3 linked regions of the Macaca fascicularis genome follow. The protein of the gene in region 1 purifies or fractionates together with the protein of each later gene. This does not show direct contact. Links are inferred from orthologs where the notes say so. Each region holds a gene or a part of one and is shown in the gene's direction. Other genes may lie near its edges.

Evidence for each region.
Region 2: the proteins of RUVBL2 (region 1) and ZNHIT2 purify together in Homo sapiens (affinity purification with mass spectrometry; 5 studies listed by BioGRID and IntAct, counting the BioPlex papers as one, with this or other methods). This does not show direct contact. The link is inferred for Macaca fascicularis from reciprocal best matches to the Homo sapiens genes RUVBL2 and ZNHIT2.
Region 3: the proteins of RUVBL2 (region 1) and EPC2 purify together in Homo sapiens (co-immunoprecipitation; 4 studies listed by BioGRID and IntAct, counting the BioPlex papers as one, with this or other methods). This does not show direct contact. The link is inferred for Macaca fascicularis from reciprocal best matches to the Homo sapiens genes RUVBL2 and EPC2.

The regions. Positions count from the first base shown.
Region 1 is NC_088393.1:56,995,354-56,998,916, forward strand, and holds part of RUVBL2 (ruvB-like 2), read left to right. Parts: intron 1-68; coding exon 69-187; intron 188-3,220; exon of another isoform or gene 3,221-3,547; intron 3,548-3,563. UniProt on the Homo sapiens protein: Possesses single-stranded DNA-stimulated ATPase and ATP-dependent DNA helicase (5' to 3') activity; hexamerization is thought to be critical for ATP hydrolysis and adjacent subunits in the ring-like structure contribute to the ATPase activity.
Region 2 is NC_088388.1:9,252,456-9,255,480, forward strand, and holds ZNHIT2 (zinc finger HIT domain-containing protein 2), read left to right. Parts: upstream 1-1,144; 5' UTR 1,145-1,212; coding exon 1,213-2,427; 3' UTR 2,428-2,466; downstream 2,467-3,025. Other genes in the region: delta(14)-sterol reductase TM7SF2, read right to left, coding at 2,817-2,977. UniProt on the Homo sapiens protein: May act as a bridging factor mediating the interaction between the R2TP/Prefoldin-like (R2TP/PFDL) complex and U5 small nuclear ribonucleoprotein (U5 snRNP).
Region 3 is NC_088386.1:44,214,377-44,218,612, forward strand, and holds the start of EPC2 (enhancer of polycomb homolog 2), read left to right. Parts: upstream 1-1,377; 5' UTR 1,378-1,645; coding exon 1,646-1,798; intron 1,799-2,344; exon of another isoform or gene 2,345-2,559; intron 2,560-4,236. UniProt on the Homo sapiens protein: May play a role in transcription or DNA repair.

The DNA.
Region 1 (3,563 bases):
GGCGGGGTGGGAGTGGGCTGGGGAAGCAGGGACGTGGGTGGCGACTCACACACACACCCCAATCCCAGGTGCTGTTCATTGATGAGGTCCACATGCTGGACATCGAGAGCTTTTCCTTCCTCAACCGGGCCCTGGAGAGTGACATGGCGCCCGTCCTGATCATGGCCACCAACCGTGGCATCACGCGGTGAGCCAGCTGCAGGGGCCTCTGGGGAAAACGGGATGCTCCGGGCAGTGGATGTGGTCAGAGGGTCCACAGGGAGCCTGTGTTGACACCTGATCAGGGAGGGACCCGTGACTGCCGTGTGCGCTCTTCCCTTACAAAAGGCGGGTGGGAGGCAGCTCTGCTCCCCGAGGAAGCCCAGAGACTGTTCTTGCTGCCTTTCTGTCTTGCTACTCCTTTGGCCCCCAAGGCTGCAGTTTTCAAACTGCGTGCGAAGCGCCCCGGGGCGCTGCAGGAAACTCACAGGAGTGCTGTGGGATGTTTTCTAATCTTGAGGGAAGCACAGTGACATCTGTTAGACACGACATAAACTACGACTGTTCAGTCACTTCGACCCAACAACTTCATTCACAGAACTCTTACTGTTGTGTTTGGCCTGAGGATGCCAGGGACAGATTCCCATGACACAGAGGGTACCATGCTCTGCTGAAGCCTGGGGACCTCGTCTCCCAGGTGTTGCCAGCACCGTGTGCGTGGGGAACTCTTAGTGTTGTGTTTGGTCTGAGGATGCCGGGGACAGATTCCTGTGACACAGAGGGTACTGTGCTGTGCTGAAGCCTGGGAACCTCGTCTCCCAGGTGTTGCCAGCACCCTATGTAGCTGGGATTATGGGCACCCGCCACCATGCCTGCTGGCTGTCTTCTCCACCTCGCCACATTTTGGCCCGCAGGAAGCAGGGGGATGTGGAGGGCAGGCAGCTCCCATAGGCTGTGATCCACAGGCTGCACCCCACTCTTGTACCCACATCCCATTGCCTGGTGGTGCTCAGGCTCAGGGCCGTACCTGGTGGCAAAGAAGGCTGGGGACTGCAGCTGTGGGCCCAGCTGAAACTGGGCGGTTGGGGTGGGCACCACAAAAGGGATGAAGCAGGCATCCTACAGAGGATGGTGGGCCGCTGTGCCTGGCTCTGTTGGCTCTTTTAACTCCTTGGATCTGCAGAAGAAGCTCAGAAGGTAGATATCACCTCAGTGCCATTTTACAGGGCAGGACAGTGAGGCCCAGTGACTTGCCCGGGTCACAAGTCTAGAAAGTGGCAGAGCCCGAATTTGGTCTCTCGGTGGCTGGACGCTGGAAGAGACCCCCAGGGCTGATGGTGTTTTCACAGAAACCGCAGGTCAGGGCCTGGGGGCTGCCCAGGGGCACCTCCTGTGGGAGGCAGCAGCTACCAGCAGCCCTGGTTGTTTGTAGACTCTGTATCTGAGAATCTCCTTGCTTGCTAAGATTTATTTGTAATCCGCAAGTAAATATCTGCCCTGCTTTTGACCACAAATTCGAGTCACCTGACACCCACTTTCCTAGCTGAGTGTGAATGAGGCAACACTGGCTGCTTCCTTTAGCTCATGCTGTAAATAAGTGTCCTTGTTGTATTCTATTTAGTGCTACGTTTTCACTTTCGTTTTTTGAGACAGGGTCTTGCTCTGTTGCCCAGGCTGGAGTACAGAGGCATGATCATGGCTCACTGCAGCCTCAGTGCCTGCCACACACACATACACACACACACACACACCACCCCTGGGGCTCAATCAATCCTCTGGCCTCAGCCTCCTCATCAGCTGGGACCATGGGCGTGCACCACTATGCCTAGCTAATTTTTGTTTTTGTTTTGAGGCGGAGTCTAGCTCTCTTGCCAGGCTGGAGTGCAGTGGCACGATCTTGGCTCACTGCAAGCTCTGCCTCCCGGGTTCAAGCAGTTCTCCTGCCTCAGTCTCCCGAGTAGCTGGGATTGCAGACACCCCCCACCATGCCTGGCTAATTTTGGTAGTTTTAGTAGAGACGGGGTTTCACCGTATTGGCCAGGCTGGTCTCGAGCTCCTGACCTCGTGATCTGCCCACCTTGGCCTCCCAAAGTGTTGGAATTACAGGGGTGAGCCACTGCGTCCGGCCTAATTTTATTTTTTTATTTTTCATTTTTTATTTTTTACTTTTGTATTTTTTTGTAGAGATGGGGTTTTGCCATGTTGCCCAGGCTGGCCTACAACTCCTGGGCTCAAGCAATCCGCCTGCCTCAGCCTCCCAAAGTATTGTCACATTTTTGTGCCTTTTTTAAAAAAAAACTTTTTGGGGCCATTTGTTGGTGATATTGCCATTTGCAGTGTCCCCTGTGCACAGTGCGGAAGTGCTGTCTGGTATTCTGAGTGCAAGGAGGCTGTGATGCCGGACGGAGGAAATACCGTGCTACAGACGCTTCGCTGAGCCCAAGTTAGAATGCTGTTGACATGAGCTCCATGTTAGAGAATAAACAGTGATATTACATAAACACATGAAAATAGAAACACACATAAATGAGGCCAAGTGCAGTAGCTCACTCCTGTAATCCCAACACTTTGGGAGGCTGAGGTGGGCAGATCACGAGGTCAAGAGAACGACGAGACCATCCCAGCCAACATGATGAAACCCCGTGTCTATTAAAAATAGAAAAAATTAGCTGGGCATAGTGACGTGCGCCTGTAGACCCAGCTACTTGGGAGGCTGAGGCAGGAGGATCGGTTGAACTCGGGAGGCGGAGTTTGCAGTGAGCCGAGGTCATGCCACTGCACTCCAGCCTCGCAACAGAGCGAGACTCCGTCTTAAAAAACATAACAGAGGCCGGGCGCGGTGGCTCAAGCCTGTAATCCCAGCACTTTGGGAGGCCGAGATGGGCGGATCACGAGGTCGGGAGATCGAGACCATCCTGGCTAATACGGTGAAACCCCGTCTCTACTAAAAAAAATACAAAAACTAGCCGGGCGAGGTGGTGGGCGCCTGTAGTCCCAGCTACTCGGGAGGCTGAGGCAGGAGAATGGCGTGAACCCGGGAGGCGGAGCTTGCAGTGAGCTGAGATCCGGCCACTGCACTCCAGCCTGGGCGACAGAGCGAGACTCCGTCTCAAAAAAAAAAAAAAAAAACATAACAGAAACACACAAATGAAAACACACATAGACCCAGATTATATATATATTGATTGACGAAAATACTGTGAGTAAAGGCTCAAGAGAGCCTAACCCTGTATTCCACTAGGAGCAGTGGCTCAGGATCGGCTAATTGGAGTGTTCACGGTGACTTTCTAGAACCTCACTGCGGTGAATAAGGGGAACTGACTGTATACCCTGGTACCAGCCCTGGGCTGGCCCCGCTGCAACAGGGAACAAGACAGGTTCTGTCCCCTCCTTTGTGAAGCTTCATGTCGAGCACGGGAGTGGGACCTTGATCCAGTAATCCTCGAGGCAGAGAGCTAGCTTAAAGCAGCCCAGCTCTGCGGAAAGGTGTCCTTGGGGGACTGACAGTTGTGGAAGGCTGCGTCATCAGGGGGTGATGTCATCATGTGACAGGAGACACGAGCTAAAGGTTAAGTGGTGTTGGG
Region 2 (3,025 bases), on another chromosome or scaffold:
AGTGGTATTTAATAAGATACTTAATGAAGAGTCAGTTTTGGAGGAAAAATAGGAGCTCAAATATTTCTTTTTTTTTTTTTTTTTTTTTTTTTTTTTGAGACGGAGTCTCGCTCTGTCACCCAGGCTGGAGTGCAGTGGCCGGATCTCAGCTCACTGCAAGCTCCTCCTCTCGGGTTCACGCCATTCTCCTGCCTCAGCCTCCCAAGTAGCTGGGACTACAGGCACCCGCCACTTCGCCCGGCTAGTTTTTTGTATTTTTTAGTAGAGACGGGGTTTCACCGTATTAGCCAGGATGGTCTCCATCTCCTGACCTCATGATCCGCCCATCTCGGCCTCCCAAAGTGCTGGGATTACAGGCTTGAGCCACCGCGCCCGGCCTCAAATATTTCTTAAATACTGCTTTTTATTTGTTTTTTTGAGGTGGAGTTCCTCTCTGTGGCCCAGGCTCCCAGGCTGGAGGGCGGTGGCGCGATCTCAGCTCACTGCAACCTCCACCTCCTGGGTTCAAATGATTCTCCTGCCTCAGCCTCCGGAGTAGCTGGGACTACAGGCACCCGTCCCTCACGCCCGGCTAATTTTGTATTAGTAGAGATGGGGTTTCTCCATGTTGGTCAGGCCGTGGTCAAACTTCTGACCTCAGGTCATCTGCCCGCCTTGGCCTCCCAAAGTGCTGGGATTATCGGCGTGAGAGCCACCGCACCCGATCCCAACTGCCCTTTTATTCGTCTGTGTCCTCTAGTGCATTTTATTTGTCTGTGTACAGCGCAGGGATGCATCGCCTTTCTGAGGCTTGGCACAATTAGTGGCCCAGGGTAGGTGTTTAGTAAAAGTGGATTTCTGCCACAGCGCATTATAGAGCTAAAGAGAGAGGGTTTTCTCTTTAGATGATCGGGCCACGTTTTGGTGTGACCGCTAGGGGGAGAGGTGGCACCGGCGGAGCGCTCGCCAGACCCATTTTTCCGCTCCTTGCGTCATCGCACAGGGCGGGGCTCGTACCTGACGCCCGGCGTCTGGGCCTGCTCTCACCCTACTAGGGAAAGGGGTGGGGCTCGGCTTTCCGGCGTGGGCGGAAATTGCTCAGAATCCTCGGGAGCTTTGCGAAACGACAGACCGTCGTCGACCCCGCGGTGAGCCGGAAGTAATTGAATAAGCCCCGGAAGTTTGGAACTATCGCCGGCGTGCGTTCGCAGGTAGATCGCGGTGCCGGTTGCTATGGAGCCGGTCGGGCCTTGTGGTTTCTGCCCGGCGGGGGAGGCCCAGCCCGCGCGTTACACCTGCCCTCGCTGTAATGCGCCCTATTGCTCGCTGCGCTGCTACCGGACGCATGGCACCTGCGCAGAAAACTTCTACCGTGACCAGGTGCTGGGAGAGCTCCGCGGCCGCAGCGCCTCGCCCAGCCGCCTGGCAAGCGCCCTACGCCGGCTGCGTCAGCAACGCGATACCGAGGACGAGCCTGGGGAAACAGGCCTTAGCCCCGGCCCGGCGCCCGGCGGCCTCTCGGGACTGTGGGAGCGGCTGGCGCCGGCCGAAAAAACTGCCTTCGAGCGGCTGCTGAGCCGTGGTGAGGCCGGGCGGCTGCTTCCTCCATGGCGGCCGTGGTGGTGGAAGCGCGGAGCCGGACCGTGGCGGCTTCTGGAGGAGCTGGATGATGTCCCGGGCAGTGATGCCGCGGGGCTGGAGCCCGCCCTTGCGAGGACCCCGCCGGAATCTATGAACGATGCCTTCGCCGCGGAGCTCGCGGCTGCCGAGCTGGTTCTTGGAGATGTCCCGGGGGCCTGCACGCCCGCCATACCCACCCGCATCCCCACGCTGGTCAGCCTGAGCCGCGGCCCAGTCTCGCCGCTCGTGCGCTTCCAGCTGCCCAATGTGCTGTTCGCCTACGCGCATACTCTCGCCCTGTATCACGGCGGTGACGACGCACTGCTCTCTGACTTCTGTGCTACACTGCTCGGCGTTTCCGGAGCCCTGGGTGCCCAGCAAGTCTTCGCCTCTGCGGAAGAAGCCCTGCAGGCCGCAGCCCACGTGCTGGAAGCAGGCGAACACCCGCCTGGGCCCCTGGGCACACGAGGGGCTATGCACGAGGTCGCTCGCATCCTGCTGGGTGAGGGCCCGACCAACCAGAAAGGCTACACGCTGGCAGCACTGGGAGACCTGGCAAAGACCCTGGGCCGTGCCCGGAAACAGGCTGTGCTTAGAGAAGAGCGAGATCATCTTTACCGGGCCCGGAAAAAGTGCCAATTCCTCCTGGCCTGGACCAATGAAAATGAGGCGGCCCTCACACCCCTGGCTCTAGATTGCGCCAGGGCTCACCAAGCCCATGCTGTGGCAGCCGAGGAGGTGGCCGCCCTCACTGGGGAGCTGGAGCGGCTTTGGGGAGGCCCCGTGCCACCTGCCCCAAGGACTCTCATTGAGGAGCTCCCTGGCTGAACTGGGGACCCTGGTCATTAATAAAGCTGTGAGTGGTCAGCCCTGTTGCCTGTTTCTGAAGGATAGTTATTGTCCTACCAGGCCCCCAGAGTCCTGGGCCCACAAGCCACTGCTCAGCTTCTCCCTGATCAGTGCTGACCCAGCCAGTCCTAGGGGAGAGAAGTGCACCAATGGTTCCCAATGTTTATCCAAAGGAGGAAGAGCATCTCCGATTTTGGTCACTGGTTTCATTTTTTTCCTTGCTCTAAACCACCTCTTCTCTGAGGCTGTTCATCCTCAGGGCTGGGTGGGGTACAAGCCCTTGAGTCCCAAGTGTGTCCAGGCTCCTGGTCTTGGGTGTGCTGGTGGATGAGTGGGCATATGTCCCCACCTGGGGTGGTGGAGCCGCTTCAGTAGATGTAGGGCACGATGCGGTAAGGCACACGCCGGCAGTACTCCTGCCATGCCAGGCCATACTTCTGCAGGCACTGCCGCTCATCCCGGGCCTCACGGTGCACCAGCAGCGCGGTGAAGTAGAGGAGGTAGAAGTAGGGCAGCAGGTGTGACACCCCTGTAGAGAAGGAGGCTCTGTGACCACCCTGCCAGCCCCCTCCACCCC
Region 3 (4,236 bases), on another chromosome or scaffold:
TAGGAAATCATCTGCCTTTCTCTGAGTTAGGCAGAGTATTGATCGATTATTAGAAAATGGTAAAATGTGTTAAAAACTCTCTTTGTACGGTTTTGTGAGAAATGTGTAATGCTTAAAGACTAACCAAGAGCCTCCTGGCTAAACCAGGTGGATGTCAACAATAGCTAGTACTTATTTGAGTCACCTTGATTTTCCCTCCTCTTGAGAACTTTCTCTAACCTGTTTAGGCTGTAGTCATGCCTCCTTTCTCTGAACTCTCACAATTATTGCCTAGATCTCGTTTGGTAATTAATCATGTCCTACTTACTGCCTGTGTCATCTCTTGTATTGTTTTCTTAAAATATTTACACTTTTTTTTCGGTTGTCATTTATCTTTCCAGCTGTCATTTTCTTTAACTATTTACATCTCTTACTGTTACTCATCTTTCCAGCAGTCCTGGCATTCCATTACGGTGAAAGCTCTCTGAGGCAGGAACCTTTTCTCAGACTTCTTCGAGTCTTCCACAGCACCCCACATTTGACACACATCTGCTACTTCGCAAATGTGTGCTGCCTTGGTTAAATTTTTAGAAGCTGAACTTTTAGTAAAGCTACTATTTTTGAACTCAGAGAAATACCTACCATCCACTAAACAGCTGTACCGAAGTTTCGGTGACAGGGAACCTAAGTTCACTTGTTGCATCTGGCAGCCTCAAACCATGAACCCTTACTGCTGCCCTGAGCGTCCTCCTCGCGAAGCCGAGGACTAGCGCGCTGCTGCACCTTGGAGAGCTCTTTCGGACAGGTACGGAGGGGAGGGCGGCGGAGAGGGCTGGCACCAGCAGCGCGGCGCCCCTCGGAGCAGAGTGATGGGAGAGACCTGTCGCACCTCTCCGGGATGAGCGCCTCGGAGGATGCGAATTAGCCTGCGCTCAGGGCGCCTTGGGGGATAAGCGCTGTCCGAGTACAGGCTTGGGTGATGGCTAGTGGGGTCCGGGTCGACATCTTCCCTTCCCGCTCCCGGACTTCTGCACACACGCGCTGCTCAGCGCAGCAGTCTTTGCCCGGCGCCTTCCTGCGGGACACCCAGCGAGAGGGATGACCGGGCGGCGGAGGCAGAGGCGCACGCTCCCGGGCGCGGGCGAACTTGCGCACCTGGCACCTGCCACACAGCGAAAGCACCGGCCGGCGAGCGGAGGGGCGCCGCAGCCGCCCCCTCTGCCTGGAGCGGACCGAGACCAGCACGCTCCCGCGGGCCGGCAGCGCCGCGTAGAGAGTGGGTGGGCAGGCAAGGGAGGGGAAGGGAGAGGAAGGAGGGAGGGAGGGAGAGGGCGAGGCGCGTTCCCGCGGCGGGGGCGCGCTCTCGCGCGGGCTGCCGGGATCGCTCGCCGCCGCTGTGGTAATGTCCGCCATGTTGGCCATGGCGCAGGGAGCGGATCGGGCGGGCGAGCGGCGGATCTAGTGTGTGGAAGCGGCCGCGGGCGGCGGGGGGCTGTTTTCGGGCGGGGTGGGCGCCCATGCTGTGGCCGGGGGCAGTGAGGAGGAGGAGGAGCGGGCCGGCCGCGCTGCACTGAGGAAGGAGGTGGAGGAGGCGGCGGGAGTCCTCCCCCCCTCCCCGCCCGCCCCGCCGCCGCCGCCCGGGCTGTTCCTGTAAGGCGGGGAGACAATGAGTAAACTCTCCTTCCGAGCGCGGGCGCTGGACGCCGCCAAGCCGCTGCCTATCTACCGCGGCAAGGACATGCCTGATCTCAACGACTGCGTCTCCATCAACCGGGCCGTGCCCCAGATGCCCACCGGGATGGAGAAGGAGGAGGAATCGGTAGGGACTCGAGTGTTTATTACCCCCCCTTCCCTCCTCCCCCCTCCCCTTTGTCAGTCGGGCCTCGCCATTCACAGAGCGCTTTACGCTCGCTGGAGGGCGCCGCTGCTGCTCTAACGCACGGGACTCTACGCCGGCGGAGTAGCGTAAACCCTCTCGGCTGGCGTAGCGCCCGCCCGCGGCCGCCATGTTGTTGCGTCCCAGTGTTGTGATTAGCTCGCAGCGCTGCTTACGCTGCCGTAAGGGGGCCTTGCCGTAAGCGGCGGCCGGGAATGGCGCAGGGGATGCGCTGGCCGCACTTGGCGTACGGTCTCTGTTTACCTTCCCACCTCCCTCCCCCAGGCGCGGGGCTAATTAATGGCGGGGTGTTATTTGGCTAGGCAAGATGATTATTTTTTCCACTTTTAAATTTTGTATTGGGTTCTCTTTGAAATGACTGTAGAAGGGCGCTTTCAAAACAAACATCTTCCTCCCAGCAGTGTAATCATCCTGGCTTCCCCGCCCGCGACGGTGCAGCGGGATGAGGCGGTACAGCACTGCGGCGGGGGAGGGCGGGGACCACGACTACCGACCGGGTAGTAGCGTCCGAGAGCCGCCCGCCGGCCAGTTCAGCCGACCCGACCCGAGCCGGGCGCGGGGTGGACGGGCTCTGACAGCTTCGCCGAGACGGCCGTGCTCCGTGCGCAGTGTTAGAGAGGAGCCGGGGATGCCCCGGAGCGAGCTGCCGGCGTAGCGTTGTCCTCGAGAATTGTCATTGCGAGGTGATCCTTAGAAGTTGAGGACTTAGTGCATCTAAATTGGCAGTTGTAATTTTGATAATACAGCACCTTTTGGGAAAACTGCTGCTTTTTCTCCGATGGGTTAAATTTTGCAGACGGTTGAATATCTGGCTTAACAGAGAGTGTTTATGACTCGAGTGGTGTTACTTGCTTGCGAAGTTCATAGTAACTGCACCCTCAAGAATTTCTTCAATGAACCTGCAGTCCCGCCTTATTGTCAACCTCGGGTGTGTGTGGATTGGTTCTCTTGCTTCTGTGGCTGTCAAAAGGAAGCTCGAGGTTTCCGTGATTGGTTTTCTCTTTTGACTATTAATATTGCAGGAAATGCTTTTATGCCTTTGATTGGCTGGTCGAGTTCTGACCTCACTGTGTTACCCTGTTATTACTACTTTGCTCTGATTTAATCACATTTCTCTTTGATTACTTGAAAGTCTTATATTTTCAGTAGAAAATGAATATGGCCGTAGTATCAGGATGAACTTAACTGTGTGTGTATACAAACGTATATGTAATACATATATATACATGCACATATACATATGTGTGTGCATAGATATAAATATATATCATCAAAACAGCATTTATCTCTAAGGTTTAGAGCTGTGAGAACTTTTTTTTGTATGTGAGAACTCTTTTATTTGTTTCAAACTTGACTCAGTTTTCCATGGGAAGGAAAATTAAGGTAAAATTATGTTATGTACAATAGTTAATTGCATTGAACCCTAATAAGCACAACTTTGGATATTTTTGCTATTTTGTGGGTCTTGATCCAAAAGAAAGATGGTCTTAAAAGTACCAGTATTGTGTGTAATTACTTGGATCCTATTATTTTAGAACTTGAGTCAAGAAATCTATTCTAGGCCAGGCGCGGTGGCTCACGCCTGTAATCCCAGCACTTCGGGAGGCCGAGGCTGGCGGATCATGAGGTCAGGAGTTCGAGACGAGCCTGGCCAGTGTGGTGAAACTCCGTCTCTACTAAAAATTAGTCGGGCGCGGTGGTGCGCGCCTGTTGTTCCAGCTACTCGGGAGGCTGAGGCAGAAGAATTGCCTGAACTCGGGAGGCAGAAGTTGCAGTGAGCAGAGATCATGCCACTGCACTTCAGGCCTGGGCGACAGAGCGAGACTCCATCTCAAAAATAAGGAAATCTGTTCTAGAGTGAACAGTTAACTCCTGGAAGATATATTACTTTTTGCAATCACCAACATATATGGTCCTTAGTATGCCGCATATGTTTTGGTATTTTATCTTAATTTAGTAAGATTACTTACAGAGTAACTTTTTCATGCTTCATTAAAAATATAAAAGTGCTTAACTCGTGTTGCAATTTTTTTGTTTGTTTGTTTTTTGAGATGGAATTTCCCTGTTGTCGCCGAGGCTGGATTGGCGTGATCTCGGCTCACTGCAACCTCTGCCAACTGGGTTCAAGCGACTTTCCTGCCTCAGCCCCGCTGAGTAGCTGAGATTATAGGAGCCCACTGCCTCGCCCAGCTAATTTTTGTATTTTTAGTAGAGTTGGGGTTTCACCATATTGGCCAGGCTGGTCTCAAACTCTTGACCTCAGGTGATCACCCGCCTTGGCCTCCCAAAGTTCTGGGATTATAGGTGTGAGCCACCGCGCCTGGCGGCGCCTTGCATATATATATTTTTGATATTGAATC